Linked DNA regions of Notamacropus eugenii. The protein of the gene in region 1 binds, or shares a complex with, the protein of each later gene. Links are inferred from orthologs where the notes say so. Each region holds a gene or a part of one and is shown on either strand. Other genes may lie near its edges.

Evidence for each region. The genes of interacting proteins can lie anywhere in the genome.
Region 2: the proteins of CFAP36 (region 1) and ARL3 are in contact, whole or in part, in a crystal structure (PDB 4ZI3), measured with the Mus musculus proteins. The link is inferred for Notamacropus eugenii from reciprocal best matches to the Homo sapiens genes CFAP36 and ARL3. Residues at the interface, in NP_080016.1 of Mus musculus: Glu44, Glu45, Ser46, Lys47, Leu48, Thr51, Glu52, Lys58, Val61, Glu62, Leu65, Glu76, Phe79, Gln80, Cys83, Thr84, Ala88, Lys89, Leu97, Val100, Leu101, Ala103, Glu104, Asp105, Phe106, Thr107, Ile108; in NP_062692.1 of Mus musculus: Leu3, Leu4, Ile6, Leu7, Arg8, Lys9, Leu10, Lys11, Ser12, Arg19, Lys35, Glu40, Pro47, Thr48, Gln49, Gly50, Phe51, Asn52, Ile53, Lys54, Trp66, Ile74, Tyr77, Ser80, Tyr81.

The regions. Positions count from the first base shown.
Region 1 is NC_092872.1:650,732,703-650,739,790, reverse strand, and holds the start of CFAP36 (cilia- and flagella-associated protein 36), read left to right. Parts: upstream 1-4,071; 5' UTR 4,072-4,403; coding exon 4,404-4,518; intron 4,519-7,088. UniProt on the Homo sapiens protein: May act as an effector for ARL3.
Region 2 is NC_092872.1:180,917,650-180,924,881, forward strand, and holds the start of ARL3 (ADP-ribosylation factor-like protein 3), read right to left. Parts: upstream 3,009-7,232; 5' UTR 2,660-3,008; coding exon 2,657-2,659; intron 1-2,656. UniProt on the Homo sapiens protein: Small GTP-binding protein which cycles between an inactive GDP-bound and an active GTP-bound form, and the rate of cycling is regulated by guanine nucleotide exchange factors (GEF) and GTPase-activating proteins (GAP).

The DNA of each region.
Region 1 (7,088 bases):
TTAGTGTCTAATAGTAGCCTTCTCTAAGACCAGGTAGGGAGGGAGGAAAAAAGAACAAAAGAAAACTTAGAAGCACAGAAAATTAGTGTAGCTTTGAAAAGGATATTTAGTATTTACTATAGAGGGTTTTTTTCAAAGTAAACTGTCAAATGGAAATTCATGGTTCTATACCTAATCCTCTTTATGTTGTACTGCATGTATCAATGGAAATGGTTTTTTTTTGTCTTTTTATGTTTAAGTTCAAAATAAATAAATATTAACAAATAAAAAAACTCATGTAATTATGCATTTGTCAAAGATATTTGTTATGCACAGCAACTTTTTCATTATTAAAATAGGCTTTTTATTTTTATTTTGCTTCAGATTTTCTAGGATTTTCTTCTTTATCCCAGGGACATTCCACAATGGCAAATCAGCAGCTACAGCTCTATCTATGTATTTCAAGCCCTAAAGAAGATGGTTAAATCTAAGAAACAATGGATTAAATCCAGGGTGATTAAATTTTTGTGTGTGTCATAAGTCCCCCTTGTAGTCCAGTGCGTAATGTTTTAAAATGCACAAAATAAAATACACAGGATTACAAAGGAAACCTTATATTGAAATATACACCAAAATATTTACAAATGTAAGTTCACGGATTTCAGGTTAAGGGCCTCTCAACTAGATGATTTTGAAATTACCATTAAATATATTTAATTTAAACAAATGTCACTGAAATTAAGGGGAAAGAAACATGAAATGATACAAGTCTATAGCACGGATGTGTCTAGACAAGGAAGATATAAACCCAAAGAGTAAAAGGTTCAGAAGATAAGACAGACTAAAGAACTGGTATAAAAAGGGAATAAAGGAAGTCTTGGATAGAGTTAAGAGCAATAGCTATAACAAAGAATAAATATCAGAGAATGCTCAGGATTGGGAGAAAAGAAAAAAGGGGGGAGTCCACAACAGCCTGAAAATGATATAATAGGTCTAGTGGGAAGAACAATGGATTTCAAGTGAGAACTCATTGAGGGCAGGGGCTGTTCCATTTTTTTGTGGTTCCGTTCCCAGAACCTAGCAGAGTGCTTTGCACTTAGAGAGTGCTTAATATAAATATGCTTGTTGAATTGTCCAGTTCAGTTGAGAGACCTAGTTTGGAATCATTAACAGTTATATTACTTGAGGTAAATTACTCAGTGTTTCTGGGCCTGTTTCCTTATCTGCAAAAGAGGATAGTAATATCTTCACTACTTAAGTTGGTTGGTTGTAAGGCAATTGTTTTGCAAACCTGAAATCAATGTGAAATATTATTATTTAATTATTAAGCTTTAAAAACCAACCAGCTGGAATTTAGCATTCCTTCTGACTCTAAAATTCTGGTATTCTGTGAACCCTATGCACTAGGTACTAAAGTTACTCTACTCTCATTTTACAGATGAGGAAACTGAGGCTTGGAGAAGTTAAATAAATTGTCCATGACCACCTTTCTATTAAGTGTCTGACATAGGTGCAAACTCTGCATTCCAAATTTAGAATTCTACGCACTAGACTATCCTTTTCCCTTCTGCAATTTAATTTGCACACTTAAGGTTTTTGTATATATTATAGAAAAATTTCTATATTAGAAACAATATTTAGAATGAAAAAATGTGTAACAGTTCTCTGATGCTATTGAGAACAGGTATGCCAGAGACAGGATCCTAAACAGAGTTCCCAAACCTAAGATATCACTGAAGAATTTTAAAATGAGGCAGGTAATCATTTATTTGCCAACCCACAGCAAGTTTCTCCACCCTCTTGCTATTATATAAAACAAGTAATCAAGCGAAACTATTGGCAAGGAACATATAATTTAGGATTTTTTTTTTACTCATTCTATAGCCTAGATAAATGGTAGCTTACAGGATTAAAATAGTTGTCTTATTATTTGTTTATTTAGAAACTGAATTCAGAACACCAAAGGTAGCAATTAACTAGGTCAAAAACAAGCTTTCTGTAGGATTGAGCTTTACATTTTAAAATAATGCTTTTGTTGCCACTGGTATTTTTTAAGATTACCCCTAAGAAAGGGATATTACCTGTCAGATCAAGAATACAGGAAGGGTTTACTATAGTTGGAAGAGGACATGGGGAAGGAACCTGGTTCCGGGCTTAAAGGGAATAGAGTAAGACCATTTCTTATAGAAGAGTTGCATATTTGCCTCAGTGAAAAGCATTTCCATCGAGGGAGTTGCCTGTGCCAACAAAATCACAGTTCTGCTCCAAAAACAAACAAAAAATACCCAGACCAAACTATTATTAAGAGAGTCATGGATAAATAGCTAGGATTTTTTTTTTGTTAGAATTCGTCTGCAACAATACTCTTTTTTCCCCTCTTAAATGTGCATGGGTAACTTTTGTTTTTACATCATCTACATCTCTCAATTTTAATGAAAAATAAAAAATGAAACTGTCAGCTGATATATCCGTAAAACAAACTGACACATCAACCAAGTCAGATACCCCTGGAAAGAAAAGAAGGCATATTCTCATAGCTCTTCTTTGAAGCCAAGGTGGGCCAGGGTTTCAGAGTATTCATTTTTTTTTCACTTGTTTTGTCCAATTACGATGTTGTAGTCAATGAATATATATATAATTTCTGGTTCTACTTCCTTTTCTTTGCATCAGTTCATATAAATCTTTGCATGTTTCTCTGAATGAGTTGTATAAATTTTTTTAAGTTCATGGATAGGAATCTACTTTGTTTCCAGTTTTTTGTTGTTACAAAAAGCGTTGCTAAACATACATTTTGAAGTATAGAGGACACCTTTGACCTCCTCTTAGTATTCGACTAGGAGTGAGATCTCTAGATTAAAGGATATGGAAACATTGTCACTTTTTTTTTTTTAAGCATCATTCTCAATTGCTTTCCAGAATAAACAATTCACGGTTCCCAACAGTGGCTAGTTTGTCCAGTTTGTCCATTTTTCCACAATCCCTCCAATATTGTCTCATAGTATTCTTTTTAAAAATAAAAGATATAGGAATTTAAAGTTGTGGTGGAGGTCTTAGCTATAATGAAAGGCCCTTCACAGAATTTTCTGGGTTTTTGTTTCCAATTCAGCTATCCCTTTGATTGCCTTAACTTTTCAGACTGAAAAATGGGGAAAATCTCCCTTATAAGAATAGAAAGTCATTTTAGAGGTATCTAACTGAAGTGGAAAGAACACTATGCTCCAAATCAGCATTCCTACATTCAGCTCCCATGTTTTTAAGTTAGGCAGGTCACAATAATGCTAGCATTTATACAGTCTTTTAAAGTTTGCAAAGTGCTTTACTTCCCTTATCTCAATGATCCTTACAACAACTCAGTGAGGTAGGTGCTCTTATTTTTTACAGAAAACTAAGGCTGGGATTAAGTGACTTGACAAGCTCAGGCTCTTAAAAAGAATTTGAGGCTAGGTTCAGTAGAAGGTCTTCTTCACTACAACACTTTATCTGTTGTGTCACTTAACCTCCAAGATACTGATACATTTTGTACTGGAGTTGCTTTGAGGAAATACTTTGTAACCCTTTTGAGATCTAAATAAACACGAGATGATGTTAGTGAATGAATATATGAGAAGAAAATGTTGCCAAGTTGCGCCCCTTCAAATACAGAAAGTGCTGCTGGAACACCACACCAGACTGGCAAAAACTCCAAAAAGAGCTAACTCACTTCGGAACACAGCCAGAAGGGTAAAAGGAAAAGCTGATGGAAAGGGAAAATAAGGAACTAGGGGCAGTCCTGTGACTTGAGGTAATGAGACCTCGCTTCGTAAGCGCTGGAATCCTATGTAAACGTTGGCTAGTAAGGTAAAGTTTGAAGTCGGGTTTGCCAAGATTAAGGGAGTCCATAGATTAGGCTGGGCAGTTTGCAGGGTTTATTTTCTCTCCTGGCTGTTACTTTAGTCCTTTAGACGGCCTCCTCTTCCTGCGGCTATTGCTTGGAAATGGGAATCCCCCAAGACATCGCTCCCGTACATGGCGGCGCAGACTTCAAACCCACTTCCACGGGAGAGCTCCTTCTCCAACCTCCCCGACTCAACGCCTGCGCAAAGAGACCTCTGCGCTTTCCTTCGCCGTCTCCCTAGTCCTTCTCCAGCCAATCGAGAGTGTCCTTGCAGTTTCCCTCCGCGCCTGGCGCCGGGACTCCTTTCCTAGCGAACCCTCCCGGGCGGGGGCGGCTACGTACGTTGTCATAGTGACCATTTCAAGTAAACCGGTTTGGGCCCTCCATCCGGGTCTCTGGGGCAGCTCTTCGGCTGGTTCTGGGAAGGTACCCCTCCCCCCCACGCCAACCCAGGGCTCGGTGGGGCAGCCGGATCCGGCCTCGGAGAGCGCGGACTGGGGCGTCTGGGCCCAGAGCTGCCTCTCCCTGGGGTTCGCAGGGTGGGAGGGCCATGGCGGCAGAAGAAGATGAGGAGGTGGAGTGGGTCGTAGAGAGCATCGCAGGCTTCCTCCGCGGCCCTGACTGGTCCATCCCCATCCTGGACTTTCTGGAACAGAAGTGTGAAGGTAAAGGCCGACGCCTTCCCCGCCACTCCCCGGGGCACCCAGACCCCAGAACAGTTCCCCTCCTTTATCCTCTTCTGGCTAAGGGAACGAGGTCGGGCCCACACGTCGGCTACATTTAGGGGTTGTTTTGAAGCTGGTATGACTCCCCCCGAAGCTCCCTCCAAACGTCCTCTCCACCTCCCTTCTCCTCACCCACTTCCACCCCCACCTTCCACACCCTACTGCCCCTCCCCAATTCCATCTCTGTCCCGCCTCCTCACCCCTCTCCACCCCGCCTCTAAACCAGCTCGCACCCGGCTCCCCACTCTCCCCAACTCCATTTTCATCGTCATCCTTTCCTTACCTTTATTCCTATCCGCACCCCACCACCTTCCTCTTCGCACTTCACCTCCACACTCCTCTCCTGGCCTCCTCCCCTCCCCCAAATCCATCCCCACCTCCAACATCCCCTCCTCACACATCTCCCACTCTCCAAGTCTCACTCCCCTAATTTTATCTTCTCCTCCATTCCTGCAGCCTAACTACCCTACTCTCCTACTCTCCATTCCTATCCCTCCATCCTCTATTTCCACTCCCACCTCCTCCCATATTCCCATGCTCATCCAGTGCTTTCCTGATTTCAAAGAAAAAAATGCACAACATAAACATGAAAAGCTTCCCTTCCCCCACTATAACCCTAAATCTCCAGGCTTCTGCCTCAAGAAAAAGTAAAAGCCATAATAAAGGGTACCGAAATGTTTTTAACTGGTTGAAAACTTTACCCCAACAACTAAGTGATGGATGGAGACGCTTTCCTATCCCTCTCTGTCCCCAGAGGGATTCACTGAGCTTAAAGCCGTTTTCTTGGAAGGGAGGATTTGGACTATGCCATGAAATACCTTTTTCTTAAGAAAGGAGCACCTAGGGATGCTCTTGCTCTAAAAGGAATTGAGCCAATCTGTCACCAAGTATTTATTTTTTTTAAATAAATTTAATACTTGTGGAAATGCATGTTGAAAACTAAAATACGTTTAAATCTTAAACAAATGTAATAAAAAGTCTTTTTTTACATCATCATAGTTCTATTATCATTCCCCCTTTCAGAGAACCATTCCATATAACAAATGATATTTTTTAAAAACAAGAAAAGAAAGAGGAAAAAAATTAGTATAACTGATCAGTACATCCCAAAAGTCAGAAAATTGACCCAGTGGGCAATTCTTGTGGATCTTCCATCTCTGCAAAGGAGATATCTCTTCTTTGTAGCTATGCTTCGACAAACCTTCATTAATTACTAATGTCAGTAAGTCAGTCAGATAACATTAAGTGCCTGCTGTGTGCCAGATACAGTGCTAACTTTGGGCATACAAAGAAAGGCAAAACAGTCCTGCTGTCCAGGAGCTTAGTCTAAAGGGATGGGCAAGGAGGAGACAACATACAAAGAGCTTTGTATAAACAGGATACATACAGGGTAAATTGGAGCTGATCTCAAAGGGAAGACACTAAAATTTCCTCACCTGTGAAATGAGATTAAGTTTGATATTAGGAAAGGCTTCTTGCAGAACTTTAGCTGAGATTTTAAAGAAACCAGGGAAGTTAGGAATTGGAGATGAAGAGGGAGAGAGTTCTAAACATGGGGGGCAGACAGTGAAAATGTTCAGTGGGAGATGGAGTGTCTTGTGAAGGTGGTGTCATGTGAGGAACAGCAAGGGGAAACTTGCTGGATTGATTGCAGATTATGGTAGATTGTGATATGTAAGAATGTGGTAGATTGTGAGATGTAAGAAGATTGGCAAGGTAGAATGGGGTCAGGTTATGGACATCTTTAAAAACCCAATTGAGGATTTTCTATTTGATTCTGGAGGCATAGAGAGTTGATTGCATAGAGAGGTGACATGATCAGACCTGCCTTTTAGTTAGATCAGTTTGACAGCTGAGTGGAGGATGACTGGAGTGGGGAGAGACTTGAGGCAAGGAGACCTACCAAAACCAGTTTTATTTCAGTAATCTAGGTGTAAGGTGATAAAGGTCTATGTAGCAGGGTGATTTCAGGGTCAGAAGAGAGAAGGGAGCATATAGGAGCTAGGATTGCAAGACGTGACCATTGATTCCACATGAGGGTGGAAGTATTGGTTTGAGAGAATAAGGAGTTGAAGATGACACCTAATTTAAAAGTCTAGATGATTAAGAGAATGGTGGTACTCTTTGACAGTGGCAGGGAAGTTAGCAAGAAGGGAAGGTTTGAGAGGCAGGGGAAAGAATGGGATCAGTTTTGGACATATTGAGTTTAAGATGTCTCCAAGACATCCTCTTCAAGGTGTCCTAAAAGCATTTGAAAATGTGAGACTGGAGGTCAGGAGAGAGGTTAGGATTAGGACAAATAAATTTTAACATCATCTGCATAGGGATGATAGTTGAATATTTAGGAGCTGATGAGAACACTAAGTGAAGAGTATAGAGGCGGAAGAGAAGACAGCCTTTGCGGATAACCCATTGTCATCTGTGTTGTGTCCTGGATGACGATGCAGAAATCAGGAGAAACATTTGAATATGAAAAACCCAACAGGTACATGGGGGATGCACGTGTTCCA
Region 2 (7,232 bases), about 470 Mb from region 1:
TTGGAGACAAAGATGTCAGTGTTCCTTTCTGCCAGTGTCAATGGAATGGACTTTTCCTCATAAAGAATGGATCTGTAGTACTTTATCCAGTGAATTTTTTTTATAGAAAAAGAGTATAAAACAGTGGCATCAAACACAAATGGAAATGGGGACTACTAATCTATACATCGATACCAAAGCATATTGGCTTGGTTTCAAAATATAATCTATGTTTTAATGTACTTTTATTTATTTTGTTAAATATTTCCAAATTATATTTTAAACATTTCTGGTTTAGAATAATCCTCAAATGCAAAATACATTTGAAAACTACTGACATATCAAAAACCAATACAGTAATACAATACTTTCTACAGAGCTTTGAATTACTAAGTGATTGAACAAAAGAATTCTGGTTAAAAATGTGAAGTTAGGATTAAAATGACTTGTGATCTTGTCATTTCATACATGTGTACTATAAACAGCTTAAAATGTTTGAATAAACTATCAGTGAATGAGTAGGCTTTTTGTTACAGTAGCCCAATTTTTAAAATAAACAAGTATCAATAATGAGTCTTAGCTGAAGGTTTTAGAGTTTGCTGGACTTTTTATTTCAAGAAGTTGGTAACTTGTATCTATAGTTTGCTTTGCCACTTTTACTGGCCTTAAAGTGAAATTAGATTTGCTTTTATAATAGTAGCACTGCAAATACTATATGTATCATATAGTCTATATCTATAGACTATATATGTCTACCACATTAGAAAAAAATTCAACACTAGTAAAATTATAGGAGTACATGTAAAAGAACAGCTTATAGTTGATATAGATAATGATCTCAGAAAACATCGAGTGACTAAAAAACCCAAACACAGAATTCTGAAAACTGACACATTAAGTTACATTACAAATGTTTAAAAAATTGACATTTTATTTTCCATTTCGCTCAATTAAGTCTTTACCAGACATCCAATACGGTAGATCCCTGAGATACAACGACAAAAAAAAAAGCAGGCCCTATCTTAAGGATCTTAATTCTATTGTAACAATAACAGACCCTCTCACAGATAAGCAAAAAAATTAAACCACACATATACTATGGAATGTCTGTGCTAATTATTTCATACATACATATATGTATACAGACATATGAGAAAAAATTCAGCAAAACCCTTGAAAGTCAATTTACACCTGGAAGTAGATCCAGTGGTTACTGTCATTTATATTCTTCAATTTAAAAAAAAAACCAAATTATTTCGTTCATTTGATGGATAAACTGGTAAATATTAGCCAATGATGATACATTTATCATCTGTGATGACAATCTTCATCTTCTGTTGGTCTGACATGCCTATTTAGCTTCAGTTCTAGTTACTTTTGGGTAAATATTTGTGTTCTTTAATGACAAATCTTTCTAATGAATAGCTCATAAACAAATGATTAATAAAAAGATAACACCAAAAATATTTACACAAATCTGTTTAGCCTGAGGTTAACAAAACTGTTACATAGAATGTGCAAAATCTGGTTGGCAGCATTAGCTAAAATAATTCTACTTATTATACTTAGCAATCATGATCATGTGCAATCAATTGGTTTTTCCTCCTATAGTCATTGATCTCTTATCCAACACTGGATAAGTTTTCTCATTTTGCTCCAGCTTTTTGTAAGCCCTTCAACCACTGAAATGTTCCAATAGTTTTAAAGGTTAAAAAAAATGAGCAGTGGAGAGCAACTCAAACTCCAGTTTCAGCATCACTCAAGGCTACAAAGCCTAACTATTTTTCCTTTCAAGTGACTAACTGACCAGCATCCTCAGGAAGCCTAAGAATACTTTTTGGGATAGGAACAAGATCGAAATGACATCTCAAGCACCTCCAAACGAAGTATTCCGAGGGTCCAAACAGAAAAGGCCAAACTATCCGAGGTCCAAAATACGGGAAAAGTTCTCGTTTGGGCTGATAAGTGAGAACCTGTGCCACAGGCTGATAACCAGTCCACCTACCCTTTTCCTTTGCCCAAGGAAGCCCGGGGTATTCTCCCCAAGGCTAGGCTCTTCTATTAAGTTGGATCAACTCAAAAAATAAGGCGTGTGTGTGTGTGTGTGGGGGCAGTCTCGATGGGGCTAAGACCAGCTGGGGCAGATTCGTGATGGCCCCAGGCAGAGCTGGGGCTCTGGCCTGGTTATCCCGGAGGCTGGGATGGGCAGGTCCCCAGATCACAAAGCGGGAGAGCTTCTCCCCAGAGGAAGCCTCTCAAGCGCAGCGGGCCATCCCCACTTCCCGGGGCCCGCACCTGTGGACACGGAGCCCGGCGGGGGGAGCGTTCCCGCCACTCCCGGATGGAGGCATGCAGAACCCCCGGGGTCCCGGGGAGGAGGAGGGGAGGGCGGCTGAGAATCGCTCTTCACAGCCCTCACCCCTGCGGAGCTCGGCCGCGGGCGGCTGGGGGAGCGCGCCCGGAGCCCCTTTCCGGGCCCCCATCTTCAAGCCTTGCCCTCCCTCAGGCCCCAGGCCTCCCACCCGGCCCGTTTCAGGCTCTCCTTGCCGCTCCCGGGCGCTCCCAGCACGACGGGAAGGGTCTGAGGGCGTCCCGCCCGAGTCCTGCCTGAGCCCTAGGGTCCGAGAGCGGACCTGGGTTGGGGGGGCTCGAGGGCGGCCCAGACACCCACACTCACCATCCTCCCGCCGACTCCCTCCTCTGCCTCCGCCTCCTCCTCCTCCTCCTCCTCCTCCTCCTCCTCCTCCTCCTGCTGCCTCCCCCGTTACCAGGGGCAACTGCGGCGGCACCGCCCGTCCCCGGCGCGGGCACCGCCCCGACGTCCCGCCGCCACTACACGCACAGTGGGCTGGGGCGGAGACACCGAGGAGAGAGAAGGAGAAAGGGGTCCCGCGAGTCCCTTCCCAAGAGAGCGCAGGCGCACAGAGACGCAATCCAGCCCGAGCGTCCGGCCAAGCCCTTTCCTGCGCAGGCGTACTCCTTTTTCTGCTTTAAGCCCGAGAGGGCGGGGGGAAGTAGGTGATGGAAAGTTGCCCACGTGGCCAGCCAGGGACGGCCCCCTCCTGTGATTGGTCCGGAAGCGGAGGCGCGGGGGGCGGAGCCGAAGGGGCGGAACGCTCCTGGGAGGGGCGGCAGTCTGTGTGAGCGCGCTTTGCTTTCCGCTGTCTGTGTCGACGTCTGGCCTGGCTTCAGGTTTGGCTTTTGGGGAGCGGCCTAGGGGCGAGGGTGGACGGGCGGCACGGACTAGCCTGACTCTTCCCGCGGGCTCCAGGGCCCCTGGCTTTTAGGAGGGGAGATAGGTTCAGGGCGCGCAGACTCCCAGCGTGGTGCCAACGGCTCAGTTCCCATGTGCTGCGGCTGCCACAGGGTCAACGTGGCAAAAAAGAAAAGGGGGGGCCCCACGTTGGGAAGACTGGCACTGCTCTTCCAAGCAGCCCCTAGGAAAAGAAAGAGGCAGCCGTTCCCCCCCAGTGCGAACACTTTGGCACTGGTGGAGGAGGCCCCTCCTCCGCGCATGCACTGCCCCACCCCCACATCTCAGAGGCCTGTACTCAACTGAATCTCCCTAGAGGTTGGGTCGCAGGAGGCGGTGTCTTGGAGGTCTCAGTGGGGGCAAGTCTGGCAACTGTGCCCTGAGCGTGGATCCTGGGAGCCACGATGCTCTGGAGTCCCCACAAGTCCCCAAGCACCTACCCTGGAAGCCAGTAGATGCTGCCACACTTCTGCTAATGATGACCAGGATGCCTCCTTAGAATACTCATCCCAGGAATAAAGTGGGGGTCTTCCAGGGCAGCTTGGAGGGCCAGAACAACGTGATCTTGTTTCTTGTCTCTTTGGAAAGGGGGCCTGGACGTGTAGTGAAAATGTGGCCACTTCAGAAATACTCCTTCTAAGTAGTCTGAAGCTTTAATGTAACTGATGACATCTGCATAGCACCTTAACGTTCACAAAGAGCTTTGTGGCTGTTGTTCAGAGTTGTCAGATTCTTCCTGACCCTACTGGCCGTACCTGTCCATGGGGTTTTCTTGCAGAGATACTGGAGTATTTGCCACTTTCTTCTCCATAGGATTAAGGTAAACAGAGGTTGACTTGCCTAGGATCACATAGCTGGTAAGTGTCTATGGCTGGATTTCAACTCAGGTCTTCCTGACTCCAGGCCCAGACCTATCCACTGAGCCCCTAGCTGTCTCCTTCATAAAGAGCTTAAATTACTTTATTTGATGCTTATATTACCTGTTGAGTTAGATAGTACAAGTATCATTTTCAGATGAGGAAACTGAGCAACAGGGACTGAGATGCAGGTTCCATGTAGCAGATCTAGTAATGGACAAGCTCGGATTTGAACCCATGTTTTCTGACACCAAATTAGTATCTTTTTTCTGTAACCACACAGCTGTCTCTTTGGAGGAGCAGAGATGGCTTGGGCTTGGAGATTTTAGGAAGTTATGTGTCTTTAGAGTTTGTAGGATTTTCTTCTGGGTCACCCTCTTTAAAAAAAATTAGTGATATATTTTCTTTTTACATCACTAGCTTTCTGGTGTATTCTTTTCCCCTGTTTAGAAAATCATCCCTTATAATAAAAATGCTTTAAAAAAAAGTTCAGCAAAACTACCCAACGTATTGTAAAAACCTAATATATGTAGTATTCCATACCTATACCTCTTTTCTACAAAAAATGGCAAAAGTGGTCACCCTCCTAGCTCTCATTTTGGCGGCAGGCAGGAGCCAGATTTTGATAGCAGTAGGCTTTTAGATTTGGCTGGAGTCAGTGGACTTTGCCCACAGGATAACTAATTAATCGTTTATTTTGGGTGTATTTATAGAACTAGACTTCTGTGCTTTATGGTGCATAATGGTTTTTATTATTGCAAGAAAATTTTATTGTCGGCACTTAATTTCAGGGTTCAGACCAGGCTTAAAGCATCAGGAGAAGCTCAAGTCAAACTGGCAGGAAGGCAGGCCCAGCTTCTAGTCATGTTTCAGGCTCTCTCCAACATGCACTCCCCCAGCTCAACCTGGGGGCCTACTTGCAGTTGCAGCATAGCCAGGGTCAGGGTAGTTTTCATGGCATCCAGGCTGTATCCTCTCTCCTCTAGGGCAGTTTTCTGCTCAGGCTAAAGAAGGATGGCCTCTCTTCCCCCCTTTCTGTTACTGCAGAAAACAAAACACTTAGCACCTATTTATCCTTTGTGAGCTCATGTTTGGAAAGAGTAGCATCTTCCTCAGTTAAACTAGATATCTAGGGTCAAGTAGGATCAGGAGGCTTATTGGTAGAGGTTGGCCAGATGGTTGACAGCAGCAGAGGTGTTATTATCTGTGCATAATGGTTTCAAACATTGGTTTCTACCTTACAGGACTCTTCAATTGGCAGACAAGACATATCCTCCTGTAGTATATGCTGAAGTGGTTTATCAGCCAAAATTCCAGACAATCCTCAACTGCTGCCTAGTGGTCTCCAGACTACTGACTCTTGTGCCAAAGAGATAATGGAAATTTCTGTTTCAAAACACCCTAAATGTTAACATTTTGTTTACCAGAGTTGGTGGGTGTAAGCATGAGGATGAATTAATAGCTTCATATTTCCCATTTTTGAGGTTGTTTGGGCAAACCCTAACATCCAGATGTTTTTTGTTCAAAAAGAAGTGCAGACTAGTAGTTAGTCATTGACCCCCAGCAAGGGATTGATGGTGAGCCATTAGAGCCCTTTGTACCTCCTTCCTACCCAAGGATTATATGCCTTCCTTTCTTGCTTGCCTAGAGAGTAAGGCTGTGAGGGTAAAGTTCTTAGGAAAGGAGAAAATTATCTGTATTTTTTCTGTCCAACAGAAGGATCTCCAAAAACTTGATAGCGAAATGCTACTACCTCTCAGGACTGTTTGCAGTCGTACAGCAGCACTTTCTTTCAAGGAGAAATGTTGCATTAAAGAAGATGGCATTGAAGTATAGTGGAAAAGAACACTGAACTAGGGACCTGGAGATCTGGGTTCTAGATCACTTGGCTGTCTGACCTTGGACAAGTCAGTTCCTTCTGTGGATTTCACTTTCTACCTCTGTAAAATGAGGGCATTGAACTCCAAGGTTCCTTCCAGTTCTAATATTGTATATTTCTAAGGGGAGGAAGAATGATTCTTTTGGGTCTGTGAGGTGGGAAGAGTTAATTAGTAAGTCATTTGTCTCATTTTTTCCTTATCCAAGCTAGATAACTGAGTACCATCTGTGTAAATATCGTTCCCTTGGGTTAGCAGCAAGGCTCAAACTGTCTTTCCTGACCACCACTCCAACTGAGATCTTGCTTGGGATCAGGATTTCACCCTCAGTCAATCAACAAACATTATTAAGTGCCTTTTATGGGCCTGGCATTTTGGTATGTAATAGGAATATAATTACAAAGAATAAAACAATAACTGATTTCAAGGAGCTTACGTTCTAATAGGGGTCTACGTTATGTACATAAATGTAGAACCTGGCCCTGGCAATGCCCCATTATAATTCCCTAGACTGGCTTGTTCATTCCAACCAATCCTCACGCAGACAGGTCTGAGATTCTCAGAGAGTGAGGTGCCACAGCTGACTCAAAAACTCCCTCCAGGTCCTAGGAATCACCTTTTGTGAGCTGCTGTAGCCCTTCTACTAACCACAGTAGTTCCTGAGCCCCCATTGTTGTGCTTCCTGTTTATAGGGAATCAGTCTGTATTACATTACTGATTCTTGAATATAAAACATATTTAATGATGAAGCAAAAGCAAGAATAATTATAAAATCCATGTTATTCAGTATGAGGTAAATGCAAGGATAATCACAGCATTATAGTCCACCAATAAACCTGGGTCACAGTCTTCGAGTAATGCACCTCCATGTTGGTGGTGAAGAGTAGATACATAGAAACCCCTCCCTTTTTTTTAAACCACAAATGAATTAATTTATTTATGAATGAGTCAACAGCACTGCTTTCCTTCCAATAGTTAAATATAGCAGACAAGTAGAAAAGTCCCATTTTTAATATAATTTACCTTCCATCAGAACAGGCTGCTAACTGTAGGCAGTGTCTCCCCTATCTCTCCTACAGTCAGAGTTGTACTAGGAGAGCCAGTCTCATCTCCAGCAAGCTCTTCAAACCCAGCGTAAGCAGTGTCAGAACTTCCTCAAGGAAGTACAGAGCCTATAGCTATGCCCCTTGTCCTTTGTAGAGTTTAAAATGAACTGCAAGCCTGTCAGTGACTGCTTAACCGCTACCCCCAGCCCCAGCACACTGA